2 linked regions of the Caenorhabditis elegans genome follow. The protein of the gene in region 1 interacts with the protein of each later gene in a pairwise test. Each region holds a gene or a part of one and is shown on either strand. Other genes may lie near its edges.

What was found. The genes of interacting proteins can lie anywhere in the genome.
Region 2: the proteins of spr-2 (region 1) and dac-1 interact in a two-hybrid assay, tested with the Caenorhabditis elegans proteins (2 studies listed by BioGRID).

What each region holds. Positions count from the first base shown.
Region 1 is NC_003282.8:8,889,032-8,893,552, reverse strand, and holds spr-2 (Suppressor of presenilin-2), read right to left. Parts: upstream 2,092-4,521; 5' UTR 2,079-2,091; coding exon 1,581-2,078; intron 1,508-1,580; coding exon 1,307-1,507; intron 1,258-1,306; coding exon 1,015-1,257; 3' UTR 810-1,014; downstream 1-809. Other genes in the region: C27B7.2 (Phospholipid scramblase), read right to left, coding at 1-21, 65-292, 377-517, 561-695; CCCH-type zinc finger protein oma-1, read right to left, coding at 3,021-3,427, 3,471-3,702, 3,747-3,894, 3,937-4,167, 4,214-4,381, 4,430-4,467.
Region 2 is NC_003281.10:813,799-822,633, reverse strand, and holds dac-1 (Dachshund homolog dac-1), read right to left. Parts: upstream 6,490-8,835; 5' UTR 6,364-6,489; coding exon 6,315-6,363; intron 5,165-6,314; exon of another isoform or gene 5,073-5,164; intron 4,296-5,072; coding exon 4,018-4,295; intron 3,965-4,017; coding exon 3,863-3,964; intron 3,657-3,862; coding exon 3,550-3,656; intron 2,282-3,549; coding exon 2,196-2,281; intron 2,154-2,195; coding exon 2,039-2,153; intron 1,993-2,038; coding exon 1,872-1,992; intron 1,823-1,871; coding exon 1,630-1,822; intron 1,586-1,629; exon of another isoform or gene 1,565-1,585; intron 1,206-1,564; coding exon 994-1,205; 3' UTR 904-993; downstream 1-903. UniProt on the Caenorhabditis elegans protein: Transcription factor. Plays a role in the thermotactic response.

The DNA.
Region 1 (4,521 bases):
TTTCTGTTCGTCTTGTTGCATCTGAAATAACATGTATTTTTAAAGAACATCTCGAAACAAATACTTTTTGCAATGTCACTTTATAAACTTCTCCGTTTCCATCGACCGTTAAAACGGAGTATCCATCAAACCAACTCAAATTTTGCATTCGATAATCAAATCGAAGAAGGCGTGGATTCATAATAATTCGAGTAAATGACACATATTTGACTCTCCATCTACAACGAACCGTTCCTTCGTCAATGACTGGAGCTACTGATAACATTTCCATTTCCACGTGTGGCAAGAAGACCTAAAAGATTTTGAATCTTGGATAACGAAGACTTGGCCAATTTTCTTTTCAAAAACATTGTTCTAAAAAAAAGGTTGGATAAACCTGTCCCAATGTTCCAATCATTCCAAAATGGCTCATCAGCTGTTCAATTCCTCGCTTTTCAACTGAGAAAATTTGATCATCACAAACAACGTCTTTTCGATAAAAAGTATAATCCATTCGTCGGCGGAACATGAGCGGAACCTTCAAGTTGTTTCAGTTAACCCACAAAAAACTTTTAATTTACAGTTTCAGTGAGACGGGTCGTCACATGCTCCAATTGGTGAGGTGCTGGTTTTTCATGAGAAAAATCAATGCTAAAGGACCGAGTACACGCCGATAATCTAGAAGTTGCTGCTGTGAAACGACATGTGAGCAACATCTGAAAAGAGGCGAATGAGCAAGTTAGTAGATTGAACTGTTCAAGAACTACGTGAAAAGGAAACTTCGCGGCCAATTACCATTTGTTTTGTAGGACTCTTAGACGGTATTCAATGCAGATCTTTCATTTGATTCGAATATACTTGGAATCATGTCAAAAACATATAGGAATACAATCAAGCTGAAGATAGAGCCGCAAAAATACTCGGCAGTGAATAAATACTTACAAAAACGGGATCGATTGATAAATGATAAAAATGACAATTATAACACACGGTGGGAATAATAAATTAGTATGCAACAAATTTCAGCTTCACAAGCTACTCTGCAGTGTTCTCGGGGTTGACTGCAACGTGTGCTTCAACATTCTCATCACCACCTTCTTCTTCAATTGCTCCATCCTCTTCTTCTTCTTCACCCTCCGCTTCTTCTTCAACACCATCTTCTTCTTCTTCTCCCATATCTTCCTCTTCTTCATCCTCTCCTTCTTGCCCATCCGCACTTTCATCTTGATCAACCTTCAGTGAATCACTTATGTTCCGACGAGGAATCCTTTGTCCATTCTGAAAATTGTTCAAAAATCCAGTAGCCTCATAATGGTGTTTCTAATACCTCATCTACACCGCGCTCCTCATTCAGAAAGTCTTCGATATCGTCTTCTTCAACTTCCTGCATGTCGGGCATCACGTAGTACTGCAAAGGATTGACGTACAGATCGTCTTTGATCACTTCAGCAATCTCATCACTGTCTGGTAGTGCTGCGTACGTGAGCCATTCAAGAAACGTGTGAGCTGAATCTCCGTCTTCCGGCTTCTGGAAGAGTTACATTGCGAAAGTTTTAGAAAAAATTCGATTAAAACAATAGGGATTATAAAGATAAACTCACGAATGGCGGTTTCTTGTTCTCCTTCCACTCGATTTCGGTAATTTCGGTGCTCGGTGACTCAGATTGCAGATGATACGACTTTGTAATTACTTCGTTTGTGAAGTACTCATTCGGGTCAAATGTCATAATTATTTTGAATCCACTGCGAAGATCTTCAAATTCTTGCACTTCAAGATCTCGCAGAGCGGCTAACAAGTCCTCTTGTTCTTCCGGAATAGCAGTTGAAAGAAGATGATGATTGAGAAAAGCAGTCTGCCAGAAATTGTCGATTTTTGTTGTCAGCTTCTTTCTTTTTTCATAAATCGGAAGACGTTTCTGATTGAAAATCTGCTCGACTTTCAAAACTTCTTCGGCAGCGTTTTCACTCATCACATCTAGTTGGTGCTGAATGGCGTCTAGTTCGATTAGCTTTTCCTTCACGGGACCAGCTACTTCGGATCGGAGATTTGGGAACTCATCGGCATTTTTCATTCGCTTTGCAGCCGGCTCTTCGCTCATATTTTAACTGAAAAAATTGAAGATTAACGGCAAAGAGAGCTTGTTTAGTAGAACAACAAAAGGCAGGGCGAGTTTGTAAAGCAAGTGTTCAACAGAATAAGCGCAAACGCACTGAAAATGCGCAAATAGTGTTGACTGGCGCATATTTTGAATAGAGCCTAGACACTTTTGATTTAATCAAGTGATTGATCAAGCTTACCCACAATTAACAGTTTTATAAATATCGACAATTTATGACCTAGTCAAGAACGCGAAGCTTAAAATTTAAAAAAATAAATGTATTATTATCGGTTAAACGGTTGGGAAAAAACTAATTAACATGCATGCATATAAAGTCTTTAAAACCGTAATGTTCTCATATTGAGAACAAAGCTAACTTGAATTGCAATATTATTTTGCTTTTTCATGGTACGTACTTAGATAGTTTTCGTGTTGGAACATATAACCTGATTTTCAATAAATTTGAAAATTGAATCGATCAAAAAAATTTACTACATCCTGCAATGAGGATCAAGAAGGAAATTTCGGATAAAAATTTTAAATGAACAAAGAAACGAAAGAAAAATACGTACGGGCAGTATCGGAGCCATTGAGAAGAAAGAAAGATAGAAAAAAAGAATCACAATTATGATCCGTGGCAGGTGCAATTTATTTTGAGATTGGGGAAGGGATTAGTGAGACAGAAGGCAATCGGGAACTCGAGCGGTGAAAATTGGAATACATTCAATGATTCGATGAATTACAATATACATCACAAGATTCGATATTAATTTCGAGAATTTAAAATGGGAATGGGCGCTTTTGACGATTGGGCCAAGTTTCTATGGGACAAGAACACGTCGACTAAAACTTATTATATTCACAAATGCACGCATTATTAGTTAGTATGGGGGACACGAATATTGAAAGTGTTTAAAAATTTGACAAATGTAGAGAAGTTGTTCACCACAAATTGAGATGCTTGGTCATATTTTCGGCCAATTGATCGAATCCTGGCATTGGAGAGAATGGTCCGTTACATGACATCATTGGATCAGTTGCGACAGATTTCATCAGAAGAGATTGAGCAACAGCAGAATTTGCGAAATATGCAGCAGCGGCAGCTGCGGATGCTGCATTGAGTGACGAAGAACTGAGATCCTGAGAAGGCGTGGATCCAGCAGATGAATATCCAGAAACTCCTCCAGGAGTATTTTGCTTTCCGAGCATTCCGAACGAGCCAGCATTTGGAGCGGAACCCAAAACCATCGAATCGAGTGGACTAGCTGGCCGATGTGCCATATTCCAAGCGTCTAGAGCAAACATCGATGGATCCAATGGCCAGCGAGACGGTGGATAGGTCATCGCACCTAAAACAGAGGTCATTAATTGCAACTAGCTGCCAATTTTTACCTTCCGCGTCATGCAATTCCTTCGTTGGTAGCTCATATCTTGGACCACGAGTACTAACAGGAGTTGGTCCTAGTGGCAATTTAGCCGCTGGCTCATCTGGAGTTGATGGCCTGGCAAACATTTCTAAAGGATGCTGAATGGCAGAAAGCGGGGGAGCTGCAATGCGACCATTAGTCATGATGTGCTGCTCCATTTGATCACGAATGTCAGCCAATGCATGGCGTTGAGAAACCTGAAAATGTTTACAGTGAGCAAAAATACATGTTTTCTTCTGACTTCAAGAAGTTTATCAGCGCGAATGTATGCGTTTGGTCCATGATCGGGATGAATGAAAAGGCACCGTTTCCCGTATGGGCAGAGTCCTGTAGTCGTATATTTGTCACAGAGTTTCGTTTTATACTTATTGTTCTGCAGCGGCTCGACGCTAAAAATTGGAATTAACATAATTTGTTTGCTTCATTCTTACAATGTTGGACGAAGTTCCTCCTCTCCATGTGCAAACCGGCAGTTGTCTGCGAAAGAACAAGTCTTAGATTCGAGCCAAGCTTGGCAGATCACAGTCTTGTATGATTCTGGTTTCTGCATTCGGGCTAATCCGCGGCGTCTAGGATCAAACTGTTGAAATGGAGGTGCAACCTGGTTGTTCTGGGGAAAACTCTGAATCGCGCGAACTTGCATCGATTGAATATGTTGGTTGCTGAAATGTAGTAAATTGAAGATATTCAGGAAATTAGCCAACGCACAATGCAATATCTTCAAGCAACTGCTTTTTGATAGCAATCAAGTTAGCAGTTTGAGTAACCAAATCTCCAATCTGGGCATTCGGATTAGTTTGAGACAAGTCCTTAGCGTGATCGAGTGGTGAAACGGGCAAAGTTGGAACGCCAGCGAGGGAGCTCTCGAGATGATGCCTTTAATAACATAAAATTACTTTTTCATTTGAATTTTGTTAAACTCACTCATCGATCTTCTCGTTGTTTTCACCGTTAACGTTCATATTGATGCAGTTGAGTGGATGTGAATAGTGTAAGTAATCGGGTGCAGGGAATGC
Region 2 (8,835 bases), on another chromosome or scaffold:
TCTTTTTTCCATCACGCTTTTTGATATCTTTCTGGTGGAAAAATAATGAAAAAAAAACGATATTGTTGTGGTCAAGCAATCCTGTTGGACTTTGTGCACAAGACACGTTGTGATCGAAACAAATTTTGTTGATTTGAAAAGTTTCCGATCCTTTCTGATATAGCTAACGAGTACTTAGAGAGGTCCATTTCAGTTTTTATCTGGAATTTTTTCACAACAAGGTTCATATACGAATTACACAAGCCAATTCTTATCGCTTTCAAGTAGTCAAAATAAATCATATTTGGTTTTCAGAAAAAAATTCAACGAATTTTAACACTTTAGAGGTAATCAGTAATAGTCGAATTTTGATGCATTCAAATTTTGACCAGATTCATTCTGAAAGTGCGGAAAATCAGTGTTATTGTTGCAGGGGAGCAACAATAGTCAAACATACACTGTTAACTTTCCGACGCACTCTAGATATCCCATCAGCCGTCTTAAAAAACCAAAGTTCGCCACTTGTGATCCATCTTGTCAATGCTTATCCCAACACAACAAATATGATGAATTATTTCCTGTGTCAGTCAGTGAAGCGCCCCGCAGATTCCGATCATTCAATATGTGGGGAGGCTGGGGGAGGATAATCCATCATCTCATGCCCGCAAAAAATCAAAATTTTGATTTCTGGATCTTTTAAAAATCTCGAAAGAAGTTTACCACTGTGGAGTCCTCCTGGTTGCTGAAAAAATCCTCCTGGTTGTTGAAAAATATGCTTAAAAAATTCAGGCTGGCGCGGGTGCCGTTGCGGCGACCTCATGGGAGTCTTACGAAAAACGGTTGGAATCGGAAGATGAAAGAATCGGAATACGCGAAAATGTAATTTCTATTGTCTTCCATTTTTTGTCAACAAAATCGCAATTTCATATGACAGTTTATTTAGTGCTTTTTTCTACACAAAAATACTTAGTTCGTAATTCTGAAAAAAATTGAATTGATTTCAAAAAAAAAGCTTCAAAGTTCCACAGAATTTCCGTCCGAAGACTGCTCCTCCTTTTCCTTATATCTTCTCAGGTCCGCATTCGCCAGCAATAGTTGTTTTTTGACATATTTGTAGCGTTTTTCGAAAGCCGTGCATTTCTTGTTCTGAGTTTCGAGCTTTTTGCGCAAATCGCGTTCTTCTTGCACAATCTTGTGAAAACTCTCTCGAAGAACTTGTATTTCGCCTGAAAACTTATTTTTTGAATTATTTTTGCTACGTAGTTTTTTTTTGTTGTTATATCAATCAAAAATTCGCCCTATCCGTTCAAAACATATTCACTTATTGTAAGAAAAAACTGATATCATTCATTAAAATGTTTCAAAATAATATTGGTTTCATTTGGCTTCCCTTAATAAGTAAAATACCGGATTAGACTTGAAATACATTTCAAAAGAGTGGAATTTCAGAAAAAGAGAGATTTGTCTGAAACCTTATTCACGATTAGTCATGGAAGGCATTGGAGATCAAAAAAGTAGGATTAGTAAAAATACTTTACAGTTATCAGGTCTTGAGAAATAAGTGACAAGAATAGTTTTAAAATGTTTGGAAATGTAGGACCCTTGCAATGAACCATGTGTTATTCAAGAAGAATATAGTCCAAAACTCACTTCGCTCTTTCCATAGCTCTTCTCTTTCATGCTTGAACTGTTGGCTAGCAAGTTCAATTAAGGACATTACTTTATTCATCATAGAAGCTTCATCGTTTTTGCCACTACTACTACTACTCCCAGCCTCCATTGACATTGACAATGAATTTGAGTTGGAGCCACCACGATCACTAACAGACGTGTTTGGTGAGGACTAAAATGTTTAAGGTTGGATGCAAACAAACTATAAATGTGTGCCTCACATCTTCTTTTCTCATATTTTCTAAAGAATCTGAGTCATTCTCAGAATTTCCTCCACTTTTACTTAGATTCAATGGCGTTATATCATCAGCGTCTCTCTGATTTTGATCATCATCATCTGCTCTAAACATTGCTGAAGTTATGAACAATAGAAAATGACTCGACTAACCTCTCAAAACTATTTTTCGTCTTCTGAGAAAGCGCAACAAAGTGTTGCATCAAAATTTGTTGAGGCGTCATTTGCGGTTGCATTAGTTGGTTGAATACGGGCCCATTCACAGGCTCTAAAAAATTGAATTAATCGAGTATATCTGTGAAAAGTTTACCTGAATCCGTTTTATCTTTCTTAATTATTACTGCGCCGTTATTCCAATCATCAAAGCTTCTTTTTGATGGGCGCCCAGGGCGGGTACTGAAAGCGAAGGATTAGTAATATTTAGATGTACTTCTTAAATTTAATGATTTTTTTGAAATTCAGGAGCAATGTTTTCGGGACATTAATTTCAACTATTAGTGCCTATTGAATCTCTGAACTAATGCTCTAATGATTTGCTAATATATTTACTAGAGCTATTTTTTCCCAAAACTACGTACTCAACAGTAGCAGTCAATCATTTAAAGTTTGATCCTTTATGCTAAACTTCTACGAAAACCGGGTTAACCTTGGTAAATCTTCATCCAGGAGGGACGCTTTTTGCAATAGGGCTCCCATCAGAGGTGGGCGGATATTTTTTTCGGATATTTTCTAATAATGAATTTATCAATAAGTATTGATGTAGTTATTCTGGAAGAAATGTATCCGAACAAAAGAGTAACTATTAAGCAACATTTTAATATGATAAAACCTAGGAAAATTCTACAAGTTTTCTGTATAAACGATATGCAAGTCCATTATCCGATATCCGTAATATCCGATATCCGATGTTGCTCGGCTAATAAGTTTTAAGGTCTCGGTAAGGAAAACTTGTAGAATTTTTCTAGGTTTTATCATATTAAAATGTTGCTTAATAGGCCCCCCCCCCCCCCCCACTCTTTGGTTCGGATACATTTCTTCCAGAATAACTACATCAATATTAATTGATAAATTCATTATTAGAAAATATCCGAAAAAATATCTGCCCACCTCTGGCTCCCATGAGGTCGCCGCCACGTCGCCTGCGCCAGCCTCACGGCGTCAATCACGCCTCATTTATCCGAATGTATAGTGCCGCGCTGAACCCCGAATGTGTCGGCCGCTTCCAAATAATTAGCTTTTCGCACACCGTTGTGCACACACAGCGGCGTCGACGTGAGGCCCGCATTTCAGCTGGGATCCCTAATGTAAGTGATAAGGAAACAATTCTCGTGAAACACCTTAGAAATCACCTGTCAGAAGTTGTTTCTTCGGTAGGAGGTTTAAAACTCTCCATATCATACTCTTCATAAAAAACCAATCTTCTACCAACTGGAAAATCCATTTTTTTCAAAGTAAAATAACTTGTCGTAGTTTCTTCTGTAGCTTGGAAAATAGGAAGTGAAAAAACCTCTATCTTATGAAGCTAAGCGCATAGTAATAGCGTAATAGCATTCGCCTGACTTGACAGAGTTATCAGAAATCAAAATTTCCAAGCCAAGTTTGATGCTACTTTGGAAATATGACACTTTCATCACCTGATGATCCCAAAAAGTAAAAACGCCCACCAAGTGCTTGTACAATCGTCATAGAGTTTCTCGAAATCCGAAGTCTTGAGTAGTTTACATCGGTTGACACCCGGCTGGATAGCTCCAAGTGATCGAAGGGCGCGCACCTAAAAGTCGTGGATGGTGGAGATTTTATAGAAGGATAACGATAAAATATCCGTATTTGCATGCGGATTATGAGAGATTTTTATTTTCTTTAAAAAAGAGATTAAACATCAGATTCTTTTACGGGTTATTTAATTGGTTTAGAATATTGTCAGTCAGGTGAATTTTCAAATTATTCTAAAATTTGTTAGTGGACAAGAATTTTTACCTGTTCTACATTGCAAACCATCGGATGAATGTACAACCGTTTGAGTTTAGTGTATACCGTATGAAGTCCTCCTACCATATTTTTGAGAAATACCTCGTACACCTAAACTTCTCATGTCTTCTAGACTATTTCGTTTTCACAAAAAAAGCTCATACCTGAGGCAAACAAATCATTTCTTTGCCGTTTATGTCAAAAGCGGCGACGTTATGCCCGCGGAACTTGATCAACTTGGCTGCAACATTACAAGAACCATTCAGTGAAGATGAAGAGCCAGAAGAGGACAACGAGGATTCACCAGATGAATCTGTAGTGTCACGTGGTGAGGTCGAGGATTCTTGATACTCATATGGAGATAGAAAATTGGACGAAGAAGTGTTAGATGAGGAATTGTTCGATGAGGAAGAAGAAGAAGATGGGTTGATCACGAATCCGCCTGGAATTTTTAATTTTACACTCTTTCTGTTCTTTTTGGAAACGCTTGGCATACTACATTTTATGGCTCAGCTTAAAGGTGAAGTAGCGCCATTGGGGATTTTGTCTAAATACATTTATAATGATCCAGAACGACTTAATATAATAATAATACATTCCAAAAAGTTTTAGATTTTTTATAATTTCCGGACAAATTTTTGCAAAGTGCCAAAAAAAAAAAGAGCTTTTAAGGAGATCCAAAGCAATGTCGCATGTTCCGACCCCTACAATGTTTTAATAAAAATAATAAAAACAAAATTGCAGTATAAAAAAGTAGGAAAAAAAATTTTTTGGTCGACTTCCAAAATTATGAGTGGCAAAAACTGAGTAATTGTCACTTTTTGACAGTAAATAAAAAAATTTCAAAAAATTTTTGAAAAGTTTTTTTTTTATTATGATATTCTGTCATTTTGGCACCTATGAGTACTTTTTAACACTTCCCCCACTGGTGCTACTCCATCTTCAAATATTCTGCAAGCTCTAATCGCTGTTGATGCATCTTAATAACCCAAATACTACTTTTTCGGCAATTTTAAGAGTTTTCACTCAATCCTACCAAAAAATTTTTAACTAACCGAATTGCTTATCTGCCTAATATAGTAAACACCTCTAAAACATTGAAATTGTTTTTCAAAAAAATTCCAAAAAAATGGCGATAAGTTTAGTTTCGCCGCTTAAACTATCACTACAACTCTCAAATCTGAAACAACATGCGTTATTAGACCATGTGTACATCAACCTCTTTCATCGATATCCATATAATCAAATACTGATAATAGTTGTAAGCAATAGGTAGAATTTGTATGTTTGATGTTGATGTGAAATGGAATAGGAATTGAAGTGAGCGCGAAAATAAGGTATCCTCATTTTTCTCTGGCACAACCCCGTTATCCCACCGACAAATCCGGATTACCATCCGAAAATCCTCACACAGGTAATGTACGGGTGATTTTCTAATATTTCTAAGTGCTCCTACACATAAATATTTACCGATTTTTCGTTTTTGATAGAGTAAGCATGTATTAGATGACGCTCATGTGGGGAATAAATAGGCAAAAAAAGAACTGACGTACTTATTGATGACATACCTAGTCTATTTCGTAATGGTGATCAACCCTATTGTTCCAGAATTTCTACGTCACAATTTCATTTGAAATTAAGTTTAAAGTCAGCTTCGATTATTGATTCCGAGCTTTCTGGGAAAAATATCTTCAAGAAAATGACATCACTTTTTAGAGAGCAATGAAAAATTGATATACATACGTATCAGGGGAGAGCAGCAAGTGCCGTTCGGCAAATTTTTTTGTTTTTTAATTTTCAATTCCGGCAACTTCCAAAAACAATGTGCAAAGCTATAATTTGCCGAACATTTACGGCAATTGCCGTTTTTTCGGAAAAATTCGGCAAATCGGAAAATAGCCGGTTTGCACGATTTGCCGGAAATTTTCAATCCCGGCAATTTACCGATTTGCCGGAAATTTCAATTCCGGCAATTTGCCGACTTGCCGGAAAGAATTGCACAGTATCTCCTTGCACGTAAAAATGATTTTCGAATGACTTGTATGCTCTAATGCGGTGTGAGAGCAATAGATGCTGCAAGACTATTGAGATAATACAATAGTTTGTTACTTTAAAGGAGTAACTTACTCTACAACGCTTACTTACATAATCCACAAAGAAAATTAGAAAATTAGTATGTTTTAAAAGATCGTCCCAAGGCGTCCGCTACTCAAATTCATGTTTCAGGTTATAACAAGTTTCTTAAAACGAGAAAAAAAAGTCAAAAACTTTTTGACGCGAAAAATGTAGTTCTATATCAAAGAAAAATCTCTCTTCTTTATTTTGAATTGGAGTCAGAATCAGTTAGATATTCTAAAGTTTATTTAAAAAAATTTCTTTCAAAAAAGTCTAGCTTAAAACGTCAGAAATTGTCACGGAATCAAAAGGGCTCATTTTTTAACGGTTTGAAATTTTCAAATACCTGCAGCAAGTTTTTGAAAATATCCGCCAAGTTGGCTGAGTTCCTGCATTGCTGCCAGCGAATTCATTCGAATGGTTCAAGAAGACACACGAAACTCTTCACATTCAGATGAAAGAAATTCGCAACTGAATGGTGAAATGTGGTTGCCATCATTTCGCAGATTAGGATCTTGAAGACAGGTGAAGACGAAGACGAAGAACTGAATAGGAGTTCTTCTGTTCATTACATTACAGGACATTCCACCTTGAGACAAACTTAGTTTATTGCTATTGCTATTGAATGAAGGAGGAAAAGAAAAAGGAGGAAAGGAATGAGAAAATCGGCATGAATGGATTTTTTTCTAATTGATTTGTAACCTGAAAATAGATTTTGTGGAGAAGTTTGTCTTATACGAGAAATTTGAATATTTACCTTCTCGTCATCAATTTCAGTCAGAGTAAAATTTAAAAAAAACATTTAATTTTAATTTTAATTATTGTTTTGACTATGAAATGTCCCTGTGGTGGATTTTGCTATGAAAAGTATTTGAAATTAGTGCCAGTGGGCGGTGGGTGGCAATTGCCGTTCGACAATTTTTTTGTCAACAAATCCGGCAAATCGGCAAATTGGCGGTTCGCCGATTTATCGGAAATTTTCATTTTTGGCGTATTCCCAAATTGCCTTTCGTCGAATATCAGCTTTGCCGGAAATGTTTAGAGGAATTTTTATAAGACGGAAACACTTGATTGCCTTTTTGAAATTTTTTCCCGTTTTCTTCAATATTTTCATAGAATTTGCTTACTTTTCAAAATAGATGTAGGAACATTTGTAGGACGCGTTCAATTTTGCCAATTGAAGTAGAAATTCAGAAATTTCCAAAAATCAATTTGCCGATTTGCCGGGAATTTTCAATTCCGGCAATGTGCCGTTTTTTAGAAAATTTTAAGTTTCTCCAGCTGAAAAGAAATTTTTCATTAAAATCTTACTGTACTCTTTTCTCTTGAAAAACATCCAGCTCCCCCTTTAAATTTGGAACTTTTTATACCATTCCTCTATATAATTATTTTCTCTCGCCAAGAAAAAAATATTTCGAAAAATGGCTTCATTTAATCGCCAAAAAGTCAAAAATTCAAAGTCAGAAAAATTTAAATTTCGGGAAAAAATAATTTAAAATTTGAAAATGTTGATAATTGAAGCCATAAAACAAGAGATCAAAATCCATTTTTGTAGCTGAACTTTTGCTCACTCACACACACACAATGATTCAGAGGCTTTCCAATTTTTTTTGGGTATTTATAGACTTGCTGCTGCTCTGAAGCTACTAAACGTGTAGCCTACATCTGCATTGATATAATCATGGCTGAATGAGTGAAACGTAATTTGAGCTCTAGACGCATGAGAAATTCATTTTTTATAGTGGTGCAAGTTCTTGAGGCAAATTAGAGCTGATACAGTACGCTTATTTGTGAAAATTATAAAAAATATCAATTTAGTTGGCAATCTTTATAAAACAGTGATCATCCGGATAAATTCTTATTAAAACGCAATTAGACTAGGGCTTTCATGAAGTCGCCGCATGTATCCGAATGTATAGTGCGGCGGGGGATGTTTTTCGGAAGATAGTAACAAAAACTGTATAACCATATTACTCAGGAGTCAAATATGTACCGCACAAGCTTTTTCTTACAATTAGAAGTTGAGACAAATTTCAGATCAGTGATAAAATTGTTTTGTGTCAGACTTGTCCGGAACTAATTTTTTTTTGCTAAACAATCCGAATTGAGAATAAACACTGAAAGGTCATAGGAAATCATAGGAAATCAAAATCATTTTTTACATTTTAGTACATAATCAAAAATTTTTGGTAAGAACCAAACATTCTCCAAAACATCTTTTGAGGCAAGAATCTGGAGCCAATGAAGATTTAAATCTCAATCTAGATTTGCAACATGGCAACGATTTCAAGTAGAAAAGTGATTATGTGGTTCAACAACTGGATAATCCAAATGGTTAAATCAGTTGTGATTATTTTCAAAACTTAATTTCGGGAAGTTCCTAATAGTTTTTCGGAACAGTTCAATACCTTTTTGTATTCATTCTATCATTCACCGAAAAAACGAACTAAACGAACAACTTAAGATCCTTATCTACTTGTCTCTTTACATTAAATTCTTCTCCTTGCTAATGCAACTTTTTCAAACGATTGTTGGGAATGGTTTCTAATGTCATGTTCTAGAGAACAGGGAAATATAAACTTTACTGTCGTATTTGTAGGAATGAAATTCAATGAAAACAGTTGTCTTGTTTAGCAAAGTGGCAACAGAACTGTCCAGACCTGACACCAAGTGTATGGAGATTTTTGTTAAATCGTACAACCGTGGTAAATATGAGAACTTTAAAGCTCATTGTTACCGTTCAAGCAATTTCTCAGAAAACTATATAAAATGCTGCAGAACGTTTTTTGCAAGTATTTTGCCCATTTTTTCTTAATTTTTAAGTAAAAAATTAAGCTCGAGGCGCCTCTGGTGGCCATTTTTAGAGT